Macaca fascicularis: one gene and its partners. The protein of the gene in region 1 purifies or fractionates together with the protein of each later gene. This does not show direct contact. Links are inferred from orthologs where the notes say so. Each region holds a gene or a part of one and is shown in the gene's direction. Other genes may lie near its edges.

Region 1 (3,983 bases):
TCTCAAGCAATCCATGAAGAAGGTTAAGAGAATGGACTTTCACACCAGACTGCCTGGGTTCTTATCAAGCATGTGACTTAGTTTGTACATTTGTAAAATGGGGATAATAACGGTATTTCTGGAATAGGTTTCTCGTGAGAATAAAGAGAGCTTGGTATCAGCTCTTAGAATACCGGCCATGTTGGCTCCACTAAGCTGTTATCACCATTCCTAAGCACACCCAGTTAAAAGGTAGAAAAGGGAGAATTTGAACCCAGTCAGTGTAACTCTCAAGTGTACATTTTTTTCTTTTATTTTCTTTTTAACCACAGCCTTTAATGTACATTGTTAAAGGCTAAACCAGGCCAGGTGCAGTGGCTCACATCTATAATCTCAGCGATTAGGGGGCCTGAGGAGGCAGTATCTCTTGAGCCCAGGAGTTTGAGACCAGCCTGGGCAACATGGCGAGACTGTGGCCCTGTCCCTGCCCCATCCCATCCGGACCCCACCCCATCCCCATCTCTACAAAGAATAGACAAAAATTACTCTGGTGTGGTGGTGCTCACCTGTTGTCCTAGCTACTCAGGAGGCTGAGGTAGGAGACTTGCTTGAGCCCAGGAGTGTGAGGCTCTAGTGAGCTATGACTGCACCACTGCACTCCAGCGTGGTTGACAGAGTGAGACCTTATCTCAAAAAGAAGAAAAAAAAAAAAAAGAAAAGGAAAAGAAAAAGAAAAAAGAACAACTAAGTTATAAACTAAGCTGTGTAGCACAGTGGTTCTCAAATTATTATTTCACTCACTAGTAGTATCACTAGAGAGCTTGTTAGACATGCAGATTATCAGACCCTATCCTCCTATGCCAGATCTTCTGATCAGAAACTCTGGGGGTGGGGGTCAGCACTGTAAGTTTTAATAAGCTCTCTAGGTGATTCTGATGCACACCATAGTTTGAGAATCACAGTCCTTATAGGCTCCGGTGGGCGGGGTGTTAAAAAAAAAAAAAAAAAGAAAGAAAAAAGAATGAGCCGCTCGCTCCCGTCTCACCCGGAGGTGAGGAAAACTGGGATTTAACTGGATTTACCACCGCAGCCGGCTCTTCAAGCCAGGGGCGGGCCGAACGGCTGGCGGGCAAGGCCTGCTGGGGCTTGTAGTCCAGACCACTCCCGCGCTCAGGCGCCTGCGCTTTGGCTGCTAACTCGCTCTGGTAGCTGTGGTCGGGGCTCGGGACCGGCTGCCATCTTAGTCTAGGGACTGAGGAGTCGCCGCCGCCCGGAGTCCCGGTAAACACCCGTGGGCGAGCTCGGGGCAGTTCTCGGGAGAGGGAGGGAGTCCGGATGAGAATGTTGGGGGAGAACTAGGGTAGAGGAGTGGGACGCGCGGGTCGGGACCCCAGAGCCGCGGCTGCTCTGTCTCCCAGAGCCGGTGTCTGTGGGGGGCGCGGGGAGCTCGGGCTACTGGCCCGGGCCGGGCGGTGGGGGTGGGTTATCTGGACGTTCGGAGGGATCAATGCCTGGCACAGGCTCCCGAGGCCTTCGCCTCGCGGGCTCCAAGTTGTGAAAGGGCTGGGCCACGACGGGCGTGGGTACGGTCCGGCCCCTCGCCCCTCATCCCCGCCTGGGGCCACTCTCCAGCGGTTCGGCCTACGCGCGGGGCCCGGCGGCCCGGGCCGGCGCGGGCTACGTGGCCCTGTGAGGGGCGTCGGCCGGGTCCCCCGTTACCCAGCTGTCCTTCCCGAGACTTCCGAGCCCCCAGTCGCTAGAAGGGCCCAGCCCAGCGGCTACCTCCACTTCTCTCTCCCACTCCCCTCCTCCTTCCATTGTCCCCCGGCATGGTGGTCCCGGCCCCGGCACCCTCCCCGACGCCCGCCACCGTCGTGGCGGCGCCGACTTTTGCAGACGTGGAGCTGTCACTGCCCTTCCTCCGGAGAGTGCCCTTTTCCTTAGCAGAGAAAAGTAAAAAGAGCCGTTGAACGTATTCTAAGGGTCGAAACGTGATGACATGACTTTTAAGTGGATAACTCAAGTTTTCCAAGACAGTTCCGGGCCGCGACTTAAAAGAGAGAATCGCAGGATTTGTGCGCCCAAGTAGACGCTGGGCCTAAAGTTAGTTGGACATGTAACCAGGTGAACTTGTAAAGGGCCAGGAATTCATTATCCCCAATAACAACGCAACCTTGTTTTCTTGGTTGTATTCGTATCCTAATCTTACTACATTTTCTGCCGTTCTTCCACATCTGCGATATACTTGGTTTGGAGTGGGGGATGGGGAAGTGTGAGATTTTTGCCTTGAAAATTAGTAAGACCCTGGAGCCAGCCACCTATCATTGCACTTAGTTGGGTTCTCCTGCATCTTTTCCTAATATAATTCGATCTTCAGGAAGTATGTAAAGGCAGTGTATTTCCATTCTCAAAATCGGCTAAGGAGTTATTTATCAGTTCAGGTGAAGTTCTCATGGCAGATATGGTGAGAGCTTGCTGTGTGTATTTTACAGGTTTTTTTTTTTTTTTTTTTTTTTGAGGCGGAGTCTCGCTCTGTCGCCCAGGCTGGAGTGCAGTGGCCGGATCTCAGCTCACTGCAAGCCCCGCCTCCCGGGTTCACGCCATTCTCCTGCCTCAGCCTCCCAAGTAGCTGGGAGTACAGGCGCCCGCCACCTCGCCCGGCTAATTTTTTTTTTTTTGTATTTTAGTAGAGACGGGGTTTCACCGTGTTAGCCAGGATGGTCTCGATCTCCTGACCTTGTGATACACCCGTCTCGGCCTCCCAAAGTGCTGGGATTACAAGCTTGAGCCACCGCGCCCGGCCTTTACAGGTTTATTTAAGCTATAATTTATTTTTAAAATTAAGAAATGGGCCGGGTGCTGTGGCTGACGCCTGTAATCCCAGCACTTTGGGAGGCCGAGGCGGGCAGATCACGAGGTCAGAAGTTCGAGACCATCCTGGTCAACATGGTGAAACCCTGTCTCTACTAAAAACACACACACACAAATTAGCTGGGCGTGGTGGCAGGTACCTGTAGTCCTAGCTACTAGGGAGGCTGAGGCAAGAGAATGGCTTCAGCCCAGGAGGTGGAGGCTGCAGTGAGCCCAAATCTGGTTGCTGCGCTCCAGCCTGGGTGTCAGTGGTGTCGGAGTGAGACTCCGAAAAAAAAAAAAAAAAAAAAAAACAATGGGATGGGCGTGGTGGCTCACGCCTGTAATCCCAGCACTTTTGGGAGGCCCAGGCCGGCAGATCTCTTGAGCCCAGGAATTGGAGATCAGCCTGGGCAACATAGTGAAACCCCGTCTCTACAAAAAATACAAAGATTAGCTGGGTGTGGTGGTGGGTGCCTGTGGTCCCAGATACTCAGGAGGCTGAGGTGGGGGAATCACCTGAGTCCTGGGGGTGGAGGCAATGGTGAGCTGTTACTGTGCCACTGCACTCCAGCCTTGGGTGACAGATTGAGATCCTGTCTCAAGAAAGAAAAAAAAAAATGGAAATGAAGGTGGAAATTCTACTGCTTCTTTGAACCGTGAATGTGTTTAAGTTTTGTGAGTCCAAAAGGAATTCCCTTATATTCAGCATACAAGTCAAGTCACCAAGGATATGATATGAAATTACAAAAATGAGTACAGACTACTTCAGTGTATTCTAGAATCAAACATTTCTACATTCTTTTTTAAAAAATACGTCTTTTTTTTTTTTTTTTTTGAGACGGAGTCTCGCTGTGTCTCCCAGGCTGGAGTGCAGTGGCGTGATCTCGGCTCACTGCAAGCTCCGCCTCCCGGGTTCACGCCATTCTCCCGCCTCAGCCTCCCAAGTAGCTGAGACTACAGGCACCTGCCACCACGCCCGGCTAGTTTTTTGTATTTTTAGTAGAGACGGGGTTTCACCATGTTAGCCAGGATAGTCTCGATCTCCTGACCTCGTGATCCATCCGCCTCGGCCTCCCAAAGTGCTGGGATTACAGGCTTGAGCCACCGCGCCCGGCCTTTTTTTTTTTTTTTTTTTTTAATTTGAGATGGAG
Region 2 (3,500 bases), on another chromosome or scaffold:
TTACACAGCCTGCTGGGGCAGCAGGATGCGGCCCCATCCTCCGCCGTCGACCCCCCGCAGGGTGCAACGCATCATCGTTCACTCTGAACCCAGTTACTCCAGAATACAAAGGCCACACCAAAACACATCTCACACTCAACCCCTGCTTTGTGCCCCCCAGGCTCCCGAGAGGGAGGAGCTGGGGCTGCAGGGAGCGAGGGCAAGGGCTTGACCGACATGGGGCCCTTCCCCTCTGCTTTCCCCTCTCTGCTTTCCCCCCCTCTGCTGTCCCCATTTTTGTTAACAAATACAAGACTTCCGGTCTCCACCCTGCTGCCACAAACCACAGCGTTCCTGCAGTCTGGCTGGGCTGGGGAGATTTATGGTCCCAAGTCTGAGGCCTGCCCGCTGGCTCCTGCTTAAGGAGGAGTCAGAATGCCCGCTGCCGGGGCTCCCTTTCCGTCCGTGTGACCCCCCTTTTAAAGTCCTCCAAGCGCCTGTTGAGGAAAATTACCTTACCAGAATCACCCCAGCCCCCAGGCTGCCTGTGGGAAGAGCCCTGTGTAGGGAAGCGGGGCGGGGCCTGCAGGGGAGGGATGAGGGCGGAGCAGGGCGCCCTGCAGGCTCCGGATGCTTCTGTGGAAGGAGGGGAGAGAGGGGGCACCCATGGTGACGGGGGTGCCGGCAGAGAAGGGGAACACATCTATTTGAGACACATAATCTTCTGTCTGGGCTGGAGGAAGCTTTGTTAAGGTAGCCTGGGTTAATACCGGTCTGCACGTTGTGATTTGGCATTTTGACATGAATTCACCCTTTGTGTACAGGGCTGCTGCTGACACACTGAGACTTGTTTTTCTATTAGGAATATAGACGTTTTTGTCCCAAGCCACTCTCATTTTTATTTTTACCGGATAAAGAGGTCCCTCATGACCACGGTACTGATTTGAGAGCTGGGTGACAGGCACCCAGAGACCGTCACATAGGTGGCCCCAGAGTCTAGACACCTGGGTTCTAGCTCTGGCTGTGTCATCCCCTGGTACTCCAGCAGCAGGCTGTCTGGGTCCTGGTTTTCTCATCAGGATGACAAGGGGCTGGAGGAGCTGGCCTTCAAGGTTCCATCCGGTTGAAAGATCTGTAACTCCAGTATGTCGCTGAGGCTTTTTGCGGCCCTAAAACTGGACCACCCAAGTTACTAAGGGTGTCTTTGCGCCTGTGCTCTGCAGAGAAGAGGCTTTGTTGGCCAGGTGGACACAGGTGCTGGTGTACTGGACTCCTGACAGGCAGGGGCCTGGAGAGAAGCAGCCCCCAGCGCTTCCTATGCTTAAAGAAAGGCAGGGTCCTGGTCAAAGGGCTGTAAGAGCCTGGGCAAGTCCAGGACTATCCTCACCGCCTCCTTCTTTCTGTCTCGTCCTGAGAGATGAGCTGGTGACCGGGGTGGGGGGTATCTTCATTCTAGTAGTCACCAATGCCTGTCCCCACCAACCCTCTCTGCCATTGTGTTTTCTAGATTCCCAACTTCTTCTGGAGCCTGGGGATCGGTCACACTGGTGCGTGGTGGCATACTGGGAGGAGAAGACGAGAGTGGGGAGGCTCTACTGTGTCCAGGAGCCCTCTCTGGATATCTTCTATGATCTACCTCAGGGGAATGGCTTTTGCCTCGGACAGCTCAATTCGGACAACAAGAGTCAGCTGGTGCAGAAGGTGCGGAGCAAAATCGGCTGTGGCATCCAGCTGACGCGGGAGGTGGATGGCGTGTGGGTGTACAACCGTAGCAGTTACCCCATCTTCATCAAGTCCGCCACACTGGACAACCCGGACTCCAGGACGCTGTTGGTACACAAGGTGTTCCCCGGTTTCTCCATCAAGGCTTTCGACTACGAGAAGGCGTACAGCCTGCAGCGGCCCAATGACCACGAGTTTATGCAGCAGCCGTGGACGGGCTTTACCGTGCAGATCAGCTTTGTGAAGGGCTGGGGCCAGTGCTACACCCGCCAGTTCATCAGCAGCTGCCCGTGCTGGCTAGAGGTCATCTTCAACAGCCGGTAGCCGCGTGTGGAGGGGACAGAGCGTGAGCTGAGCAGGCCACACTTCAAACTACTTTGCTGCTAATATTTTCCTCCTGAGTGCTTGCTTTTCATGCAAACTCTTTGGTCGTTTTTTTGTTTGTTTGTTGGTTGGCTGGTTGGTTTTCTTCTTCTTGTCCTCGTTTGTGTTCTGTTTTGTTTCGCTCTTTGAGAAATAGCTTATGAAAAGAATTGTTGGGGGTTTTTTGGAAGAGGGGGTGGGTATGATCGGCAGGACACCTTGATAGGAAGAGGGGAAGCAGAAATCCAAGCACCACCAAATGCAGCATATGAAGGGGGGCGGTCATCATTTCACTTGTCAGGAGTGTGTGTGTGTGTGAGTGTGAGGCTACGAGTGTGTGCACGCGTGTGCAGGAGCAGCAAATGGGGAGACGATGTGCTTTGTTTTGTGTCTCTTACGAATGTCCCCAGCAGAGAGGTTTGCAGTCCCAAGCCGTGTCTCTCGTGCTCCTTGGACATGCTCAGTGGGGCAGAGGCAGTACCTGGGCGGCAGGGGTCCCAGCAGCTGCCAGGAGCACGGCTGTGTCCCCAGCCTAGGAAAGCCCCTGCCCCTCCTCTCCCTCATCAAGGACACGGGCCTGTCCACAGGCTTCTGAGCAGCAAGCCTGCTAGTGGCTGAACCAGAATCAATTGTTTTCATCCTTGTCTTATTCCCTTCCCGTCAGCCCCTGCCATTGTAGGTCTTTCTTTTTTGGCCATCTGCTCCTGGATCTCCCTGAAATGGGCTTCCTAAGGGCTGCCGGGGCAGCCCCATCACAGTATTGCTCACCCAGTGCCCTCTCCCCTCAGCCTCTCCCCTGCCTGCCCTGGTGACATCAGGTTTTTCCCGGACTTAGAAAACCAGCTCAGCACTCCCTGCTCCCAGCCTGTGTGTTGAGCTCTGCTATTGGGCCAGCAAGCGGGGACGTCCCTGGGAGGGACATGCTTAGCAGTCCCCTTCCCTCCAAGAAGGATTTGGTCCGTCATAACCCAAGGTACCATCCCAGGCTGACACCTAACTCTTCTTTCATTTCTTCTACAACTCATACACTCGTATGATACTTTGACACTGTTCTTAGCTCAATGAGCATGTTTAGACTTTAACATAAGCTATTTTTCTAACTACAAAGGTTTAAATGAACAAGAGAAGCATTCTCATTGGAAATTTAGCATTGTAGTGCTTTGAGAGAGAAAGGACTCCTGAAAAAAAACCCTGAGATTTATTAAAGAAAAAAATGTATTTTATGTTATATATAAATATATTATTACTTGTAAATATAAAGACGTTTTATAAGCATCATTATTTATGTATTGTGCAATGTGTATAAACAAGAAAAATAAAGAAAAGATGCACTTTGCTTTAATATAAATGCAAATAACAAATGCCAAATTAAAAAAGATAAACACAAAATTGGTGTTTTTTTCTATGGGTGTTATCACCTAGCTGAATGTTTTTCT
Region 3 (3,500 bases), about 7.0 Mb from region 1:
TTTGGGAGGCCAAGGTGGGCGGATCACCTGAGGTCAGGAGTTTGAGACCAGCCTGTCTAACATGGGGAAACCACGTCCCTACTAAAAATACAAAAAAATTAGCCGGGTGTGGTGGTGGGCACCTATAATCCCAGCTACTCGGGAGACCGAGGCAGGAGAATAGCTTGAACCCAGGAGGCAGAGGTTGCAGTAAGGTGAGATCGTGCCACTGCACTCCAGCCTGGGCGACGGAGCGGGACTCAGTCTCGAAAAAAGAAAAAAAACTGCAGCCACTGTCATCTGCCCAGAATCTCCCCAGCACTCTCAGCTTCCTTGTTTCTTATTGTCGGCCCCCTCCCTTTCCTTCTTTTGCCCCTTTCATCATACTTTTGCTATTTACCTTTTCCTTCTCTCCTAATCCAAACCTTTCTTTTTGCCCTGGGGGCCATATAAATCCAAGGCTTTTGTATCAGATTAACTGGGTTTGGATTCCTGCCCCACTATTGTAGGATCTTTGCTATAGTACTTTGCTTCTGCTAAGCCTCAGTTTCCTTATTAGTATAGTGGGGATAATAATGGCATTAAATAAGATGATACATGCAAAGCCCTTAATGGAGAGTCCAGGACATACTTAATTGTCAGTTTCCAGCAGCTGCCTTTATTGATGTGGCTGCTAATTGCTCTTCCTCACTCCATACCTGGCCCTGTCCTGGGCTCTGATTCAGTTTCAGGTGGCCACCTTGCTCTTCTGGCTTTCTTGGCGCCCCACCCCCCTGCTGTGGCTTCATTCTGGGTGGGTAAGTGGCTGGGGCCGCCTGGCTTGAGCCGGACAGTGGCATTGTGTCTTCCAGGATCGACTGCGGGCCACCTGCACACTCTCAGGGAACCGGGACACCCTCTGGCATCTCTTCAGTACCCTTCAGCGGCGGCCCGGCTGGGTTGAGTCCTTCATTGCGGCGCTGAGGGACTGTGAGCTAGCTGATCTCGCGGACGAAGTGGCCTGTGTCTACCAGAGCTACCAGCCTCGTAAGTGTCCTGCCCTGGCCCTCCTCCTGGACCCCTGGCCTGCTCCCTGGCCTCTGCTCTCCCTTCCCCTCTCCCTGTACCTCCTGCCTTTCTCTGTCATCCTCTTTTTCATCACTGTGAAGCGATGGATAAACCTGGGTGTAGATCCAGGCTGAGCCACTTACCAGCTGTGTCCTTTTGGCCAAGTCCTTTAATTTCCCTGAGCCTCAGGCCTCTCCTCTGTAAAATGAAGTTCATGGCAGCATCTGCCGCGGGGGGCTGCAGTGGGTGATACCGCAGGACGATGCGTGTTGAGTACTGAGCTGGGCTAGGCACTTCCTGTATGCCCAGCACATGGGGTCTCCTCTAACTTTCATTGCTGTAGCGTTCGCCTCCCACCCTTCCTCATTTCTTCTCCCCCACCTACTCATTCATCCTCCCTCTCTCCACCTTCTCTTCCCGTCCCCTGGTTTACCTTGAGAGCCTTCAACGCCCTCTACCAACTGCCCAGTTATTCCTTAAGTCCCTCTCAGTGTCCCTGCCACTCTGAGTGCTTGGAGGGGATCTGGTGAGATTGAGTTTGATCCTGAGTGAGATCAAGACATGGGAAGAGGCTGGGCGCGGGGTGTCACGCCTGTAATCCAGAACTTTGGGAGGCTGAAGCAGGCAGGTCATGAGGTCAGGAGATGGAGACCATCCTGGCTAAAACGATGAAACCCTGTCTCTACTAAAAATACAAAAAATTAGCCGGGCATGTTGTCCCAGCTACTCGGGAGGCTGAGGCAGGAGAATTGCTTGAACCAGGGAGGCAGAGGTTGCAGTAAGCCAAGATCGCACCACTGCACTCCAGCCTGGGCGACAGCGAGACTCCATCTCAAAAAAAAAAAAAAAAAAAAAGAAAAGACTTGGGAAGAAAAATCAAGCCAGCCCTATTTATATTTCAAACTAGAGGTAACCCCCGAGACCCTGGTCACATTTATAGCTGTGGGACATCCATGTTTATCTTTTCTTTCTCTTTCTCCTTTTTTTTTTCCCCCCTTTTAGAGACAGAGTCTTGCTCTGTCACCCAGGCTGGAGTGCAGTGGTATAATCATAGCTCACTGCAGCCTTGACCTCCTGGGCTCAAGTGATCCTTCTACCTCAGCCTCCAGAGTAGCTGGGACTACAGGCATGGGCAACTATACCTGGCTAATTTTTAAATTTTTTTTAGAGATGAGGTCTCACTATGTTGCCCAGGCTGGTCTCGAACTCCTGGGCTGAAGCGATCGGCCTCCCAGAGTGCTGGGATCATAGGTGTGAGCCACCGCGTCTGGCTCTCATGCTTACTTTTCTTTCCTTTTTCTCTTCCTCGCTTTTCCTCCCTGCCTCCCTCCCTTCCTCCCCTACTCTCTTCCTGTTTTTCCTTCCTTCTTTTTAAATGTGACTCTTCATGTGTGGAGATTAATAGTGATTCCCCTCGCTGGGTGCAGTGGCTCACACCTGTAATCCCAGCACTTTGGGAGGCCAAGGCAGGCAGATCACAAGGTCAGGAGTTCGAGACCAGCCTGGCCAATATGGTGAAACCCCATCTCTACTAAAAATACAAAAAAATTAGCTGGGCGTGGTGGTGCAAGCCTGTAATCCCAGCTACTTGGGAGGCTGAGGCAGGAGAATTGCTTAAACTGGGGAGGTGGAGGTTGCAGTGAACTGAGATTGTGCCATTGTACTCCAGCCTGGACAACACTGAGACTCCGCCTCAAAAAAAAAAAAAAAAAAAAAAAAGAAAAAAATAGTGACCCCCTGAATACAATACAATGGCTGTGGTAGGGCCTGATGAGGGGTGGTGGCAAAGGGGAGGGGCTGAGGCAGCAGCATCAGGGCAGGGGTCAGTGAGCAATGACAGTCATGGGGAGGAGAAAGCCACTGGGTCCCAGGATGCCTGGGGACAGAGAAGAGTGACTGCTGACATGGTGTGGGTGGCTAGAGGCCTACGAGGCCTCCTCCACACTCCCCCTCCTTCCTTGCTACCTTGTCCTCCAACTGCTGTCTCCCTCCCACTCTTGCCCCCTTGCCAAGTGATGCTTGTCACTCTTGAGGAGTGGACCCACATCAGAACAGCTTTTGGACCTATGGCTGGGGCGGGGGGTATACCCAAGAGCACCCAAGCCTCTTTCATCATGAGGAGAACCCCCAATTCCTTCTTTTTTCTTTTTTTTTTGAGACAGAGTCTTGCTCAGTTGCCCAGGCTGGAGTGCAGTGGCGTGACTTTGGCTCACTGCAACCTCTGCCTCCTGGGTTCAAGTGGTTCTCCTTCCTCAGCCTCGCTGTAGTCCCTGATTCCTTTCTTTTTTTTTTTTTTTTTCTTTTGAGATAGAGTCTCGCTCTTGTTGCCCAGGCTGGAGTGCAATGGTGCAATCTCGGCTCATGGCAACCTTCACCTCCTGGGTTCAAGCAATTTTCCTGCCTCAGCCTCCCGAGTAGCTGGGATTACAGGCATGCGCCTCCACGCCTGGCTAATTTTGTTATTTTTAGTAGAG
Region 4 (3,500 bases), on another chromosome or scaffold:
CTTTACTCTTTGTTTTGTGGTCTGTTGCTTTTCTCTTGCTAATTTACTTGACTAGATAACTAAGAATTCAGGTAAGCATTAGCTCTTTGTTCACTGAGAATGATACAACTTGGAAGATAATTAATTTGGATAGTTCTACATGTATTTCATTTGTTATTTCTCTTTCCCTTGTTCATTATGATGTTTTGAATTATTTATGTGCCCATATTCTTTCCGATGCCTCAGCTCACTATGCTTTTTAAAAAAGTATTAGATTCCTCAAGGTTGGAAAACAAGATCTGAATACTATAAAACATAATAACTATTTTTCTGTGATCAAATATTAAAGATATAATGGCTTTGGATTTGGGGGTGATTTTTCTAATGTCAGTTTTTTAAAAAACTTGTCTATTTGCATTTTTATGTGTTATTACTTAAGAGTATTTCCAAGGAAAGTTTCATGTTGTTTGTCTCCATGTCTTTCTTTTTCCAAAAGAACTTATTTTTTATATTATAAGTATCAGTGGAAAAGTAGGATTCATTATATGGAAATTAACTTTAGGCTGGGTGCCGTGGCTCAAGCCTATAATCCCAGCACTTTGGGAGGCCAAGGCAGGAGGATTGTTTCAACTCAAGAGTTTGAGACTAGCCTGGGCATTGTAGCAAGACCTGGTCTCTACAAAAAATAAAAATAAAAAAGGAGATTCACTTTTTTATTTTTGAGATGAAGTCTCTCTCTGTCGCCCAGGCTGGAGCGCAGTGGCACCGTCTTGGCTCACTACAACCTCTGCCTCCCAGGTTCAAGCGATTCTCCTGCCTCAGCCTCCTGAGTACCTGGGATTACAGGCGTGAGCCATCATGCCTGGCTAATTTTTGTATTTTTACTAGAGACATGGCTTCACCATGTTGGCTAGGCTGGTCTCGAACTCCTGACCTCAAGTGATCCACCTGCCTTGGCCTCCCAAGTGTTGGGATTACAGGTATGAGCCACCATGCCCGGCAAGAAATTTACTTTTTAGGCCTGTTCAAGAATACATCTATTGCATAAAATGGAAAAAAATTGGTACTGAAATCCTTGACCTTTTTCTATCAGATTTTTAAAACAAAAAATTGAATTTGTGTTCAAATCTGTTTTAGTAGTATTTTGACTTTTGTATAATCTAGAACATTATTTCTGTATCTCAGGAAGCTGAATATGGTGGGCATGATCAGATAGATTTGTATGACGATGTCATATCTCCATCTGCAAATAATGGAGATGCCCCAGAAGACCGGGATTACATGGATACTCTCCCACCAACAGTTGGTGATGATGTCGGTAAAGGAGCGGCACCAAATGTTGTCTATACGTATACTGGAAAGAGGATTGCATTATATATTGGAAATCTAACATGGGTGAGTGAAGTTAATATATGAATTAAATTATTGGTAATTGATTTTGAACTGTTCTAGTAATTAATGTTTTTCTCCAGATTTTTATAAGTTTGAAGTTACTGTGTTTGTTTTTCTATACGTGTTTGCTTGTCCAGTGAGGAGGGAAATACAGATATCTTTGCAACATCATTAATTCCAATTCTTCTAGTTTTGAGTTTTGTGGTCGTTCAGCTTTTCTTGGTGGAGATACTAGTTAAATATAGTTAAATTAGTTTTGTCTTCAGTTACCTTTTTTATGCTACCACTTTACCTTGCTTCAGATAGCCTAATTTCACTAAAAATAATGCTCACATGGGGTCTCAAACCAGGATTCAAGTGTAAAAGGCAAGAGACATAGTGTCACTCCTGGTTTAAAAATAGTGTCCATTTAATTTGTATTACAAATTTGAGTTTTATTTCTGCTCTTAAATTTGAAATCTGATTTATAGAAGCACTGCTATATGTATTATATTTTAATTTGGGTTGTCATGAGACTAAGATTATTGATTTAGAGCTTCATTAAATGCACATATGTATATTTATATTTTTATTAACATTACATTTTAAATATCATTAAAATAGTTCTATAGAATTTTTGTATCTCTACTTAGTTATTATGTATACTTGAAAGTTTAAAACTTGTATATCCAGAAATCAGTAAAATTTGGCACCGTTGCATTTCCTTAATAACACTGTATTTTTAACCTTTTTATTTACATTTCTTTTTTTGGTGGGGGAGACAGAATTTGCAAAACTATCACCCAGGCTGGAGGACAGTGGTGTAATCATAGCTCACTGAAGCCTCAAATTCTTGGACTCAAGTGATCCTCCTGTGTCAGCCTCTTAAGTAGCTAGGAACACCGGCATGTGTCACTACACCTGGCTAATTAAAAAAACAACAAAAACTTGCTATATTGCTTCAGGCTGGCCTCAAATTCCTGGCCTCAAGGTATCCTCCTAACCAAGCCTGTTAAAGTGCTGGCATTATGGTGTCCAGCCTATTCACATTTCTTTTAAAACTAATTTGTAACACATCTCCCACCACCCAGTCTGAGTATTCTATAGTATTGGAAACAGTAGCAGTGTAGTTATGTAAGTATGGTTGCTAAGTAAGTATTTGGATCTTAGCTCCACCATCTATTATTAGTTTTGTCACCTTGGGCAAACTCTAACTTCTATTGTATTGTGTGTAAAATGAGGATAATAATAGGGTTTATAGGGTTGTTATAAGAGTTAAATAGTTAATACATAAAGTGTATGGTAAATATTAAATACATGTTAGTTTTTTCTTGTCTATGTTTTAATTCAAAAACAAGATGAAATTCAAAATATTTTCCTTTAATGGGAGGAAGTGAAATTGGTTTTATTCACAATTTAAAATCATAGCAATTTAAAGCTGTAAGGGACCAGAAACTCTTGAGAGTCAAATCCTATTGTAACCCCAAGGGTACTGTCTAGTTTCTGAAATATGTATCAGGGAATGAAGTTAGGTTCCCGGATGTTTTTTGTGCTGTTTAAAAATTGGAGCCTGACTGGCCGTAACTAGACTTAGATTTGCACTCAGCATTTATTTTGTATGTCCCAAATTTCCCCTTAAAAACTAAACTGGGATAATAAAAATCTTGGTTATATTTTAATGGTTAATAAGGGGAATAATATCTTGCAGTGGACAACAGATGAAGACTTAACTGAAGCAGTTCATTCTTTGGGAGTAAATGATATTTTGGAGATAAAATTTTTTGAAAATCGGGCAAACGGCCAGTCAAAGGGGTAAGATTTTTTTCTTTCTTTTTGATTTAGTAGCTAGTGATACAGTTTTTAACAAGTTAACTTTCCTGTAAGTTAATGTTAATTACGCGTGCATACAACACATGATTGTTTACATTGGAAGGAGGTTCTTGAGCAGAGATTGATACTGTTCACTTTATGTACCCTATTACCTAGCACACTAAAACCAATAGAATGGAGATGTGGACAGATCTATTTTCTAATTTTCCCAAGTTTTCTCCATCTGTGGTTGAAATGATTGTTGAAATCACAGTTTAGGAACCATTACTCTCCCTGTGATTAAGAGATGGGAGAAGATGGGCAGCTGAATACCGTGTGTT
Region 5 (3,500 bases), on another chromosome or scaffold:
TGAAAGTAAATAGAACAGACTGGTGTAATTTCTTGTAATGGAACAAGCTGATTTTTAACAATTTATTTGATTTTAAACTTACTGTATACAAATTTTTATTTGTCTAAAATATAGAAATGAGATTGCTATATAGAAAAGGTTTTACAAAAGTATCAAAAGACAGTTCTTGCATACTTTAAAATGTTTGTCATTTCTTGCTTAGAACAAATACACTTAAATTCTCTATGTACATTATTCTGTATATACAAAATCAGGTATTATTGATAGTTTCCAGCAGTGCCTGAGTTTTAGAAGTATGAGTTCTCATTTTGTGGTATGTAGTGATGGTGTCTTTTCTTAGATTATTCAAGAGATTAACTGTAAAACAAGTTAAAGCTTTCTCTCTTGGGGAAAAAAATAAATTTAAGAGTAACTAGATCTGATCTTTTTACTATTTATAATCTAAAATATAAGCAAAATGAAAGAAATAAAATAGTAATTGTAACATCCACGTAAGAGTGAGATCCACCACCTCATTCTTGGAGCCGTACTATCCATCAATTACACCACTGGTTTCGTGGCAGTTCTTTGCCGCTAGGGTACTAGTTTTAGTATGAGGCTCACTCTCTTACCCCACTACATTCTATAGGGAAAGCACATTCTTTTTTTTTTTTTTTTTTTTTTTTTACTTTTTCTGTGTGGTTGAGGAATAAAATCTCGGTTTTATATACTGTTGTTTGTGGTCCTGTTGTTTTTTTTCCCCCTGAAAAATATAGTTGTACATATTGTTCTGTGAATGTCACGTTACATGTTTTATTTCATTCATTTCTTAGGCTTTGGGGTGAGCCTGTTAATCTGCGTGAACAACACGATGCTTTAGAATTTTTTAATTCATTGGTGGATAGTTTAGATGAAGCTTTAAAAGCTTTAGGACATCCAGCTATGCTAAGTAAAGTCTTAGGAGGTTCCTTTGCTGATCAGAAGATCTGCCAAGGCTGCCCACATAGGTAAGTACTAATTACACATTGAAAGTATATGTTGTACCATGTATATACTAACAAAAATAAAATTTTTACTTGTACTTACATACAAAAGTGGAGTATGTCACTGATTACTAAATACCTGAAACAGAATGATTTATATACTGTGCATACCTTACTGCTGTGGGACTATTTTTTGTTTTTGTCAATTAATTTTTAGTTCCTTCTACTCTGCCTGATCTCTTAGCCATTTTATTATATTATACTCTTACAGTCTCCCTTCCCTTTCCTCCTTTCCTTATTCCTTTTTCTTTTCCTTTCTCTTTTTTTTTCTTTCTTTTCTGAAAGAGACAAGGTTTCTCTTTGTTTCCCAGGCTGGAGTTCAGTGGCATGATCGTAACTCATAGTAACTTTGAACTTCCGGGCTCAAGCAGTCCTACTGCCTCAGCCTCTCAAATAGCTGGGACTACAGGCATGTGCCATCACGCCTGGCTAATTTGTAAATTTTTTTAGAGATGGGATCTCTTGTTGGCCAATGGGGTCCCAAACTCCTGACCTCAAAATCAGTCCTCACACCTCAGCCACCTCAGCCTCCCAAAGTATTGAGATGACAGGTGTGAGCCACCATGCCCAGCCTACTATTACATTCTTTTACAGAATATTATTCCTGGAGAAATGAAATGGCATTTTGCATATAGCTACAGGTGTTATTTATAAATTTGCCCTTTATCTTAGAACTTGAGTGATTATAATAGTGTAAATACAGTAAGTTTAGAAGATGACAAAGCTGTGGTAGTATTTCCTATACAAATGAAATAATGACTTTTAAAATAGCATTGATTATTGTCATTGTCTTTAAGGTATATTTGTATACAAAACATACCAAACCTATTGTTAAAAAAAAGATTTTACAAGAAAAACATTGACAAAACAGATTGTTTGACTAAAAGGAAAATTGATTAAGGGCTTCTATTAGCAGTAGTTAATGAGTTCATTACTGATAAACACACATGCCTGTCATAATGGAAGTTTTACTTTGGGACTTGTTATAATATGGATTAATGTTGATTTGCAATCGTTTTTCACCAAAATGTCACAGTAAGATAGTATTTTCTACAATCCAAACTCTATTAAATATAGTCATGGGTTGAGTATACATGTGGTTTGTGGGGGTGTTTTGTTTTTGATTACCAGGAAATGATTGGGGGAGAGGTAATACTATATAAATGAGAAATTTCTAGGAAGTTATAGTCTTACCACTCATTCATAATTGGGGAATATACTTACTCACTTAGCCTAGGCAACTTTCAGTCCTTTTGAAAGGCCTTTTATATTAGGTGAACAATAAAATAAAATTTTAACCTTGTTTTTAATTAGTGATGAAAACAGCCAATTTTGGGATCATTTGTTCATGTCACTCCTCCTTAGTTTTAGACAATTTTCTAAATTATTTGGAAATCACTGGTTTTCTTTGGCAAGTGAAATGTCAGAAGATTATGGTCTTGAAATCAGATCCTTGTACCTGATCAACAGCTAAACTAGTCTTTTTTTTAACTAGCTGGGCATGGGGGTGGACGCCTGCAGTCCCAGCTGCTTGGGAGGCTGAGTCAGGAGGATCACTTGAGCCCAGGAGTTAGAAGTTCCAGTGAACTATGATCATGCCACTGCATTCCAGCCTGGGTAACAGAGCAAGACCTCACCTCATTAAAAACAAAAAAGAAAGAAATTCTACTTTGAGTGCCCATACAACCATTCTGTTTTTCACTCTCAGTACAGTATTCAATGAATTACATGAATCTTTGTGTTACAAGATTTTGCCCAACTGTAGGCTAATATAAGTGTTCTGAACACATTTAGGGTAGGCTAGGCTAAAGCTATGATGTTTGGTAGGTTAGGTGTATTAAATGCATTTTCAACTTACGATATTTTCAATTTATGATGGGTTTATTGGGCTGTAGCCATTTCATAAGCGAAGAGCATCTGTAGTTACCGCAGAGACCATATGCCTCACAAAACCTAAGATACTTACTTTCTGGCCCTTTACAGAAAGACTTTGCTGTCCTCTAGTGTTAGAACACCTTCTTTTTATAGGTGTTGAAGAATGTCCTACTTTTGAAGTGTAGTCTGAGATCTAACTTTTTTTCTTTTATGGGCTGTTCCCTGATTATATAGTAGCAATTTGCTTAATACCTGTGTTATATTTCATTCATACAATTTATAAATGCCTTTGTGTACCTTTTTTCCTGAGTTTAAAATTCCTTAAATAAGGGACTGTCTTAAACATTGAATATCCCTCAGTGCATTTACACATAGAAGGTACTCTCAGTCTATCCACTGAATGAATTAATGGTTAATATTAATGAATTAATGTATTCCTCACATCCCTTGTTTTGCATTTATGCATGTGTCTCACCAGAAATCGGAGTCTCTTTGGTAGAAAATGACCGTAAACTGGGATTCTAGCTCCTTCTCAGGTTGCTAATCCTGTACTCATTTGTGTGTTCAAACTTTTGCTTTACTAAGGCTTCCATTACAGAAAAG
Region 6 (4,195 bases), on another chromosome or scaffold:
TGAAGTCAGAGTTGGATTCTGAGCCCCTATTTACTGTGTGATAGTGTTTCCTTTAAGCACACTTCCTCTTGCATGCCTTGATCCACGGCCCCCCAGATGGCTCCCATTAGGCAGGCTTGAATTGGATGTCACTCTTTCATTGGCATGAGTCATTATAATAGCCTTGCGCTGTCAAGGCCTTTACATTTAGGCTTGTTTCCTACTTGAAATGTTTTCTAGGAAATATGGATCTGTAGAGAATGGTGGTTTCCATGGTAAATGTTCCTTCATATTTGTTTTCTCAAGTTCACTTCGGAGATACACAGCATGATTTCCTCTTTCAGTACCAGAACCACAATAGCTTTAAGTTGTCATGAAACTGTTGAACGTTAAAAAAGAAATCTCACCCACCCTGCTTAGAAAAGGGGTAATTTATTATTCTAACTGCAGGGAGTCAACTTCATATCCACCCCAAAATTGTAGGAAAAGAGTTGACTTTTTAAAATAAAGCCACAAAACCTACACGACCTTGGATGTAAATGCTTAAAACAGATGAGCAGAATATTGGTCCCCTAACACATCTAAGACTCTCCATTATGTGTCATACACAAGTAGGAACACATACATATGTGGAGTGCTTTATAGTTTTCACACACATTTTCACACCAGTGTCTTTAAGTTAATAGGGCATGTCTCATAGCATTTATTTACAGGTAGAAAAATTAAGGCTGAGAAGTTAAGCCACTTAACAGAAGTCACACAATTAGCTAGCAAGTGCCAGGGCCCCAAATGAATTCTTCCTTTGGTTCCAAATTCCGTGTTATTTTGCTACGCGGACACTGTTTCTTTGTGCCTTCGTTTTCCCAGATGTAAAATGGTAGATTTTCCGTGTCCCAGGATGCTGTTCTCAGCCCTCTCTTGTTTTTAACCAATGTCAGTTTTTTTCGCAGCCAGCAGAACACCACAACGACACTTCATGTACTTTCCCCCCTCCTGATTTAATGAATTAAGGGGGAAGAAAAGTTACCTATTCGCAGAGAGCTGGACACTACCATAAACATAAAGGCGTACCAGAGTCGACCGACACACTGTTGCATTCTTTTATGAGACTGAGAAATAAAGCGTCTCATCTTTCTCTTCCCAGCAGTAGCTGGGGTAGAACACAGAACTACACAATAGCCTCTTGTTTAGTTTTATTAATTTTGAGGACGGGTGGGACAAAGGGATCAGACTGGCGACTCCAGGGCCCAATCGCAAGCGTATACTAGGCCAGGCCGGGCCAACGGGTAGCTGCAAAAGAATGGTGGGCGGGACTTACGCTTCAGGGGCCCACTCCGCCCAGGCCGGCGCTTCCAGCCCGCCCAGGGGCGGAGCCTCTGCAGAGCCCCGCCCACGACCCCTCCTCCCTCGCCCCTCAGCTTCTGCGGCCCGCCAACGGGAGCCGGGCAAGCGCCCGGGGTGGGGGAGCGGAGGAAGAAAGGAGGGTGTCTCGCAGAGCTGTGACCTCGGTGGGAGCCTGCTGGTAATAGGAAGCAAGAGGGGAAGGAAAACGAAGGAGCACTGCACTTTCCTGCATTATTTTAAGCAGTCTTTGGTGGAAGGTGCTTTTCAGCATTTCTATTATTTGTTTTTCTTCCTCCAGCAGTGGGGCGGGGAGCTGCACTGCCTCTCCCACGCGACTATGCCGCGCAGTTGCCGCAGATTATTATTGTAGTCTTTTGCAAAACCCTTTCCTTCTTCCCAGCCAGTCACGGCGCAGACTCTCACGGCTACGGCAACCGAGTCGTGCCCCTCTAGTGGGAAGGCGAGAGCGAGGGTCCCCTGCTTTCGCCGGAGCTCCCGGACCCCGCGGTTCAATTGTTTGAAACTTCCCCGCCCCCCGGCCCCGCCTCTCTTCCGCGCTCCCCCCACTCCTCACTTCCAGGGTCCAGGCAGGCTCCCGCCCTTCTTTCCCCGCCCTCTACTCCGCCTTCCTCCCTAGTCCACCCCCCCCGCCCTGCTCCGGGGCGGTCCTAGCCGCTCACCGCAAGAAGAAAAGCCACCCGTGCGTCCCCCTCCCCTACCTCCCATCCTTTGCCCAGGAGCTGCCTTGGCAGTCACGCCCCTTCCTTCCGAGGAGCTTTCTGGCTGCCTAAACTGGTAGACCCTCTGAATTACTCCTCCGTCTCCTCTCTCTTTCGCCTCCTCTTCTCTTAGTTCTCTCCGCCTCCCCCCCAACTACCACCACCTCCAGTCAGTCTCGCCTCCGACCATCCGCTGCTCCACCCTCTGGCCCGGTATCCTGCCTGTCCACTGCCACCAAGGAGAGCCCGGACGGAGCAGCGAGGAGGGGAGCAGCCGGGAGTTGGGGCTTCCCCCCTGCCCATCCCTGGCCGCTGGCCCGGGACCGAAGCCACTTGAGCGAGCAGAGAGTCGTCACCTTGTCTTCGTTGCCTTCAGGGGTAGGAGACGCGTGGTTACTTTTCGCGGGGAACTGGGGCAGGAATCCATGGTGGCATGAACTTGGTCGTGCCCTCGGCGTGAGTGAATCGATCTAGGCGCGTGTGGGAACGTCCGTGTGTTCTACTTTCTTTGCAGCTCGCCATTAGTTTTTTTGGATGTGCAGCAAGTTAAATCGGTTAGAGTGTGCGCTGCTTTCCCGTCCTACTTAGGTGAGGAGATGCTAGTGGGTACCACTACTAGTTGGTACTTTTACTTCCTTACCTCCTGGGGTTCTTGTGGGTCTCTAGGTAATTAATCACATGGAGGAGCTAAAGACCCGAGGGAAGCTGAAATCTACATTTAGCCCAGCATGCATGTCAGTGCTTATCTCAGATAACTAGATAGGTTTCTCCTAAGTGCTTAGGCTTGGGGTGGGGACTCACACTCCCTGAGGCGGGAGCAGGAGGGGTAGGACCGTGAATTCTTGAAGTTTTAAAGTCTGTGTAATCTAAAACACAAGGCTACTCTTTGAGATGTGTGGTGGTGTTTGTGGTGCCTGTGGTGGTGATAGTAATGGTGAGGAGAGAGTTGCCCCTATCTGCTTAGAAGATCCAAAGATGTTAGTAAATAGTTTTGGGGGATCAGGCAGGTGTCTTGAGGGTCCAAGCCTGGGCCACTGCACGTTGGTGCTTCGACAGTAAGATGGGCTTCATGGGTATGTGAAAATGAAGAGAAAGAAAAGTGGGAGGGAAAATAACAGTCTTCAATAGACTGTGAGCAGTTCCTGGTAAATTGCCACTAATAATAATATAATAATTTGCATAAAGGGACTAAATAGAATTAAATGAGCAAGGAAAGAGAAAGTTGGTGAGAAACAGCATTTTCAATCTCTAGTGTATGTTTTAGAACGAATTTTTCAACAACCTGGGATGTTTAGTTCAGTTATCCTCCCTCCCCGCCATGAAGAGTGGAAGTTGGGAGGCAGTTTAAAACTTTTATGAATATAACCCTCTTCTCCCATTGAGAGAGGAAGATAATTAGTCACCATAATCTTCAATGATGAAGGGCTAAGGGTATTTAAGTCTCCTTGAGCTACGCTTTGTGAAAAGTTCTTTCTCAGGCCAGCCTTTGTGAAGCCTTCTCAGTTAGACCTTTCAGCACCCTCATTTAGTAGCTAAGAATAGTTTGAAATGCCATTTTGAATGTGGTATACATTTTCATCCATCTCCCACCTATCTTCAATTGGACAAGTGCGTCAAGGTTGTAAGTGATGGTGTTCAAAGACTTATTACTGAGATGTCCTTAACCTATTGCTTATTTGGGAACACATTATTTACATACATTTAAAACTAACTTTGGTTGATTTTAATGAGGGAAAGGAAAGTAGGAAGGTAAAGAAGGAACGTTACAGGGTGACAATTTTAAAGGCTATCCTGTTTCAGATCAGCTGGGAGGGAAAAGCTGGCCTGACCAAACTACATTTTATAACTAGCCTGGGACATTTTAACAGCCAGGTGGTTGTAGAGTAGTTGCCTCTATTTACAGATGATAACTCAGGTTCCAACTATTCTGTATGGGTTTATCCGGCGTCATTGACAGACACTTTCTGGCACTACATCATACTTCATTTTAAATTACTTCTTTCCTTGGAAAAGTTTGTGACTTTGTAAAATTGAAAGTGCTTTTTCTACCTTCATGGTCTAGATGTGAAGTAAGCCTCTGACCACGATTGGATGTGGAGTCACTTTTACATGAAATTTGCAGATCTGTTTACCTATTTAAAAGATTTTAGAAA
Region 7 (4,101 bases), on another chromosome or scaffold:
GTTTGATCAAGTCCACCAACCAAGTTTTGTGGGTCTAACAGTGCAACTTCTGCCAAGTGGGAGGAGCTTAGGGACTTTTTATAACCTCTCCTGGGGCAGACATGATGGGCTGCAGCAGTGTCCAATCCTAACTCCACGATCTCCTGGGAGGGCAGGGCTTCATGGCAGTTCCTGTCTGCTCTCCACTAGAAGCTTGGCATTGCAAAGGGGCTCAGTTGTGGGACAAAGCAGGGCTTCTTCCAGAAAAGTTGCATCTACTTCCTATTCCCTTTCTTTATTGAAATATGGATAACTTATCATCTGAGGAGGGAGTAGAGATCCCAAGGTAGTTTGCCGAATAGTTGTGCTTATTAATTCCAACTTTTCCCAAGATCAAGGGGAAAAGCAATCCCTGATTTTGTGTGAGTATGGGGGAGGGGTCTCGAGGTCCTGAAAATGAGGTTTGGGTCTCGCAGATTGCTGTGAAGAGTTATTGACCCAGCTAGAAGAGAAGCCTAGCTCAGGGCCTGGCCCACAGTTGATGGGTTTGCTTAGTGGTTATTCTTCCGTTCTTGTCTGGAGCCCTGCATGCCTCTTCATAGCTTAGGAAGAACATGCTTCTCCCTGTGGCTCAGGGTGAGGAAGTGGGAGAGAATGCCAGCTCCAGGGAGGCTTCTAGCACCAGTCAGCCTCAGTTAAAATCCTTGTACCTTCATTGACTAGCTGTGTGACCTTGCACAAATCATTTCCCCTCTGTGCCTCAGTTTCTTCATCTGTAAAATGGGGATCATCATAGTACCTCCCTCAAAGGGTTGAGGTGAGGATGAAAGGAGTGAATCCGGAGCATGCCTGGAAGAGGCAGGAAATGCCTCCTACACAACAGCTAGTTTTGCAGCCAGACAGATCTAGGTTTGAATCCTGCCACCAGTGCTAACTACTATGTGATTTGGGGCAAGTGCCTTGACCTCTCTGGACAGCTGTTTCCTCATCTGGAAACGGGTTTGGTAACAGTCCTGGCTTCCAAAGTTGGTAGTGTGCTTCTAGTAAGCAAGGTGTGTGAAATGGCAGAACCCTGGCCCTGGTGCAGAGCAGGGCCTGATGACACTGTTAGGGTCTGTCCTCCCCGGAACCCCTTCCTGGGAATGGCAGAGGGTGGTGGGGTGCTCTGAGGCAGGCTGCTGCCCTGCCCCCGCTCCCAGCTGCCCCACCCCAGCTGTGACGACCTTGTCCCTGCCTGTCTAAGGGGCAGGAAGGAAGTGAGGAGGGCAGCCAGCAGCTTCCCCTTTTCTGCCCTGCTCCAGGGACCGGGCTCTTTCCCCTTCAGTGCCTCAGAGGAGGGGACAGCAGCACCATGGATCCCCGCTTGTCCACCGTCCGCCAGACCTGCTGCTGCTTCAATGTCCGCATCGCCACCACCGCCCTGGCCATCTACCATGTGGTGAGTGTGGGGGCCCCGGGTGTGCGTGTGTGTGTGCGTGCGTGAGTGTGCGTGTCTGCGGTGACCCCTCATCTACGGAGCCCCCCGCAACTGAAAGAGCTCCTGCTCTCCACCTCTCGGGGGGATCCTGGGCAAATCCCTGTCCTGCTCTGGGCCTCAGTTTCCTCCTCTGTCAAATGGCTGGGGGGACCCGCAGGAGTGAGGAGTAAGGGAGCAGGAATCCACTTTCCAGGCAAATGTAACTGACGTTCACTCCGAGGCTGGCTCTGTTTCTGCCTCTGTGAGATGGGGCACAGCAGCGGCCGGAAGGTTATTTGTGCACAAAGCCAACAGCAGATGTGAAAGTGCTTTGGAAGTCAGGGATCTTGGAAGGAACGTGGGCTGGGATTGTTTGACCAGGATGTGAGGTCGGCCACAGACACAGCCCCGATTCTTCCCCTGGGGCCCGAATGGAGCCTGGGCCACTCAAGGGGAAAAGAAGTGGGCATCACCCCTTTGTGCTTCCAGTGGGAAGGGAGGGGCCGAGTCCTCTTAGCTTCCAGCTCAGTCAAACCACGGCCTTCTGCCTACCAAAGAGAATTGCGACCTGTGCTAATAATTAGGGTAACTTGCCCGGCCCAAGCTCCTGTTGGGCAACTTGTGAAGTCACAGCTGTCCCTGGTTCCTCCTTTCCTGGTAACTCACAGTGTGATCTCGGGCAAGTCACAGTGCCCGGGGGCCAAGGCTCCCCCTCTGCCTGGGGTGGCTGAGGGTCAGGGTCCTTGTACTGTCCTGCCTAGACCCACCTCACCCCCAAACTCCTGGCCACACCCATCTCCCCTAGACCCAGGCAACTTCCTCCTGGGGTGACTCAGGGCCTGTGGTTGGTTGACAGTTTTCTCATGAGTCTGGAAGGGCTTCCTCAAAATTAGCCTAGATCCACATGCTGCGGTGGGCTGCTGCACACTTAGACCTGCCTGCATCTGCTTCCTGTCACAGGCAGGGCAGGCAGAGCTGTGGCAAGAGCCCAGCCTTCAGGGGGGCGATGCTGTTCAGTGGTTAGCGCGCGGCCTCTGGATGCGGACTTCTGCGTGCAAATTCTGGCTTCCCTGCTTCCCAGCTGTGCAGCCTTGGGTGATTTACTTAACCTCTCTGAACCTCAGTTTTCTCATTTAAAAAAATGGGGATGTGAGTTATCGTACCCATCTGATAGGGTTTGTTGTGAGGCTCAGGGAGCTGATATATACAAAGCTTGCAGAACCATGCCTGACGCACAGGTGAGTGCCTTATCATTCATTGTGCATCAGACATGGCACCTGTTGTGAGCATCCTTGGAGTCAAGCTGTCAGATTCAAGGACTCTAGTTTTGGGAGCAGGAACTCAGAGGTTGTCCTGCCCAGCTCCTGCCAATGCAAGAGCTGAGAGAAGCATATCACTCTTTGGGTGTCCCTGTACCCTGTCTTTTAGGCCTTCAAGCTCTGAGACTATGCAGCGTTCTTGGAAGGACAGTGTGGCATGCAGGGGCATCTCACAGGTAGCAAGTCCCTGGGTCCTCACCCCAGCCCTGCCACTAACTGGCTGTGTGGACTCAGACAAGCCTTTCTCCGGGCCTCAGTTTCCTTTTTATAAAGTCAGGGGTAAGGTGATGTTGACTGGCTCAGAGGTCTCCAACTCTGATGCCTCCAGGGTCTGGGCAGGCCATGTGAGTGACAGCAGGGGGCAGATGGGCCTGCGGTGACCTGGGGAGGCCTTGCTTGTCCCACCCTGAAGCTGCTCTCTGTTTTTGCTGGTTGTTTCCACAAAAGATTGTGGGCCCTGGTGGCCACTCTTCTGATGTTTGGAGAATAGGGAGCAGGCTTTTGTGTCACATCTTCTGATGTTTCAATGCTAGTGATTGATGCACGGTAGAAAAAAATCTCTGTGCCGGCCAAGTGGAATCCATCTGCAGGCTGTGTGGGCCTAGAGGCTGCCCTGCAAACCCGGGACTGTGGGGCTGTTAAGATTTCTTGTTGATCAAGAAATGTTGATCCGATGTCCTCACCTGTAAATGGTGGTGTGATATACGGTCCCTGCTCACAGAGCTGAAGAATGTGTGGGCCCAAGCAATCATGGAAGACTTCTTGGAGGTGGTGCCATTGGCAAAAGGGAGAGTTTGGTTGTGGGCAGTATGGAAGGGGAGGAGAAATGGGTGAGCAATGGCGTATATGTTTGGCTTCTACAGGGACACAATAGAGACCAACCTGGAGTTTGGGGAGGAGGTGATAAAGGTTTTGAGTGACAAGCTAAGACTTTGGATCTTCCCTGCAGTGCACCGTTGATATTTTGGGCTGGATAATTCTTTGTCATGGGGGAGTGAATTGTGCGTTAGAGGAAGTTCAGCAGCATCCTTGATCTCTACCCACTACATACCAGTAGCACTGCCCCTCTCCCTACCCTGCCTCTTGTGATAACCAAAAATGTCTCTAGTTATGGGGCCCAGTCTCTTCCAGTTGAGAGCCAATGCCTATGAGTGATGAGATGCTCTAGAGCAGGAGCAGGCATAAGAACAGAGGGGTGTCCTGGAAGCTGTGCGTTCGGCCCAGGTTGTCTCCAGGCTGTGGTCCTCAGTTGACTCCAGTGGGGGGTTATCTTCCTGCACCCCGAAAGAGTCTTCTCTCCTTCCCAGAAAGGGCAGGGCCTGGGGGCTTTCCCATAGGCTAGCAGGT

What was found.
Region 2: the proteins of ITCH (region 1) and SMAD7 purify together in Homo sapiens (affinity purification with western blotting; 4 studies listed by BioGRID and IntAct, with this or other methods). This does not show direct contact. The link is inferred for Macaca fascicularis from reciprocal best matches to the Homo sapiens genes ITCH and SMAD7.
Region 3: the proteins of ITCH (region 1) and MAVS purify together in Homo sapiens (affinity purification with western blotting; 3 studies listed by BioGRID). This does not show direct contact. The link is inferred for Macaca fascicularis from reciprocal best matches to the Homo sapiens genes ITCH and MAVS.
Region 4: the proteins of ITCH (region 1) and CPSF6 purify together in Homo sapiens (affinity purification with mass spectrometry; 5 studies listed by BioGRID and IntAct, with this or other methods). This does not show direct contact. The link is inferred for Macaca fascicularis from reciprocal best matches to the Homo sapiens genes ITCH and CPSF6.
Region 5: the proteins of ITCH (region 1) and USP9X purify together in Homo sapiens (affinity purification with western blotting; 3 studies listed by BioGRID, with this or other methods). This does not show direct contact. The link is inferred for Macaca fascicularis from reciprocal best matches to the Homo sapiens genes ITCH and USP9X.
Region 6: the proteins of ITCH (region 1) and AMOT purify together in Homo sapiens (affinity purification with western blotting; 3 studies listed by BioGRID). This does not show direct contact. The link is inferred for Macaca fascicularis from reciprocal best matches to the Homo sapiens genes ITCH and AMOT.
Region 7: the proteins of ITCH (region 1) and LAPTM5 purify together in Homo sapiens (affinity purification with western blotting; 3 studies listed by BioGRID and IntAct, with this or other methods). This does not show direct contact. The link is inferred for Macaca fascicularis from reciprocal best matches to the Homo sapiens genes ITCH and LAPTM5.

Annotation. Positions count from the first base shown.
Region 1 is NC_088384.1:90,410,700-90,414,682, forward strand, and holds the start of ITCH (E3 ubiquitin-protein ligase Itchy homolog), read left to right. Parts: upstream 1-1,183; 5' UTR 1,184-1,260; intron 1,261-3,983. UniProt on the Homo sapiens protein: Acts as an Acts as an E3 ubiquitin-protein ligase which accepts ubiquitin from an E2 ubiquitin-conjugating enzyme in the form of a thioester and then directly transfers the ubiquitin to targeted substrates.
Region 2 is NC_088392.1:40,841,537-40,845,036, forward strand, and holds part of SMAD7 (mothers against decapentaplegic homolog 7), read left to right. Parts: intron 1-1,486; coding exon 1,487-2,025; 3' UTR 2,026-3,500. UniProt on the Homo sapiens protein: Antagonist of signaling by TGF-beta (transforming growth factor) type 1 receptor superfamily members; has been shown to inhibit TGF-beta (Transforming growth factor) and activin signaling by associating with their receptors thus preventing SMAD2 access.
Region 3 is NC_088384.1:83,429,429-83,432,928, reverse strand, and holds part of MAVS (mitochondrial antiviral-signaling protein), read left to right. Parts: intron 1-830; coding exon 831-1,005; intron 1,006-3,500.
Region 4 is NC_088385.1:76,016,297-76,019,796, forward strand, and holds part of CPSF6 (cleavage and polyadenylation specificity factor subunit 6), read left to right. Parts: intron 1-1,164; coding exon 1,165-1,374; intron 1,375-3,058; coding exon 3,059-3,162; intron 3,163-3,500. UniProt on the Homo sapiens protein: Component of the cleavage factor Im (CFIm) complex that functions as an activator of the pre-mRNA 3'-end cleavage and polyadenylation processing required for the maturation of pre-mRNA into functional mRNAs.
Region 5 is NC_088395.1:41,197,487-41,200,986, forward strand, and holds part of USP9X (ubiquitin carboxyl-terminal hydrolase 9X), read left to right. Parts: intron 1-812; coding exon 813-986; intron 987-3,500.
Region 6 is NC_088395.1:119,350,243-119,354,437, reverse strand, and holds the start of AMOT (angiomotin), read left to right. Parts: upstream 1-1,395; 5' UTR 1,396-1,580; intron 1,581-2,040; exon of another isoform or gene 2,041-2,420; intron 2,421-4,195.
Region 7 is NC_088375.1:204,258,396-204,262,496, forward strand, and holds the start of LAPTM5 (lysosomal-associated transmembrane protein 5), read left to right. Parts: upstream 1-1,301; 5' UTR 1,302-1,330; coding exon 1,331-1,417; intron 1,418-4,101. UniProt on the Homo sapiens protein: May have a special functional role during embryogenesis and in adult hematopoietic cells.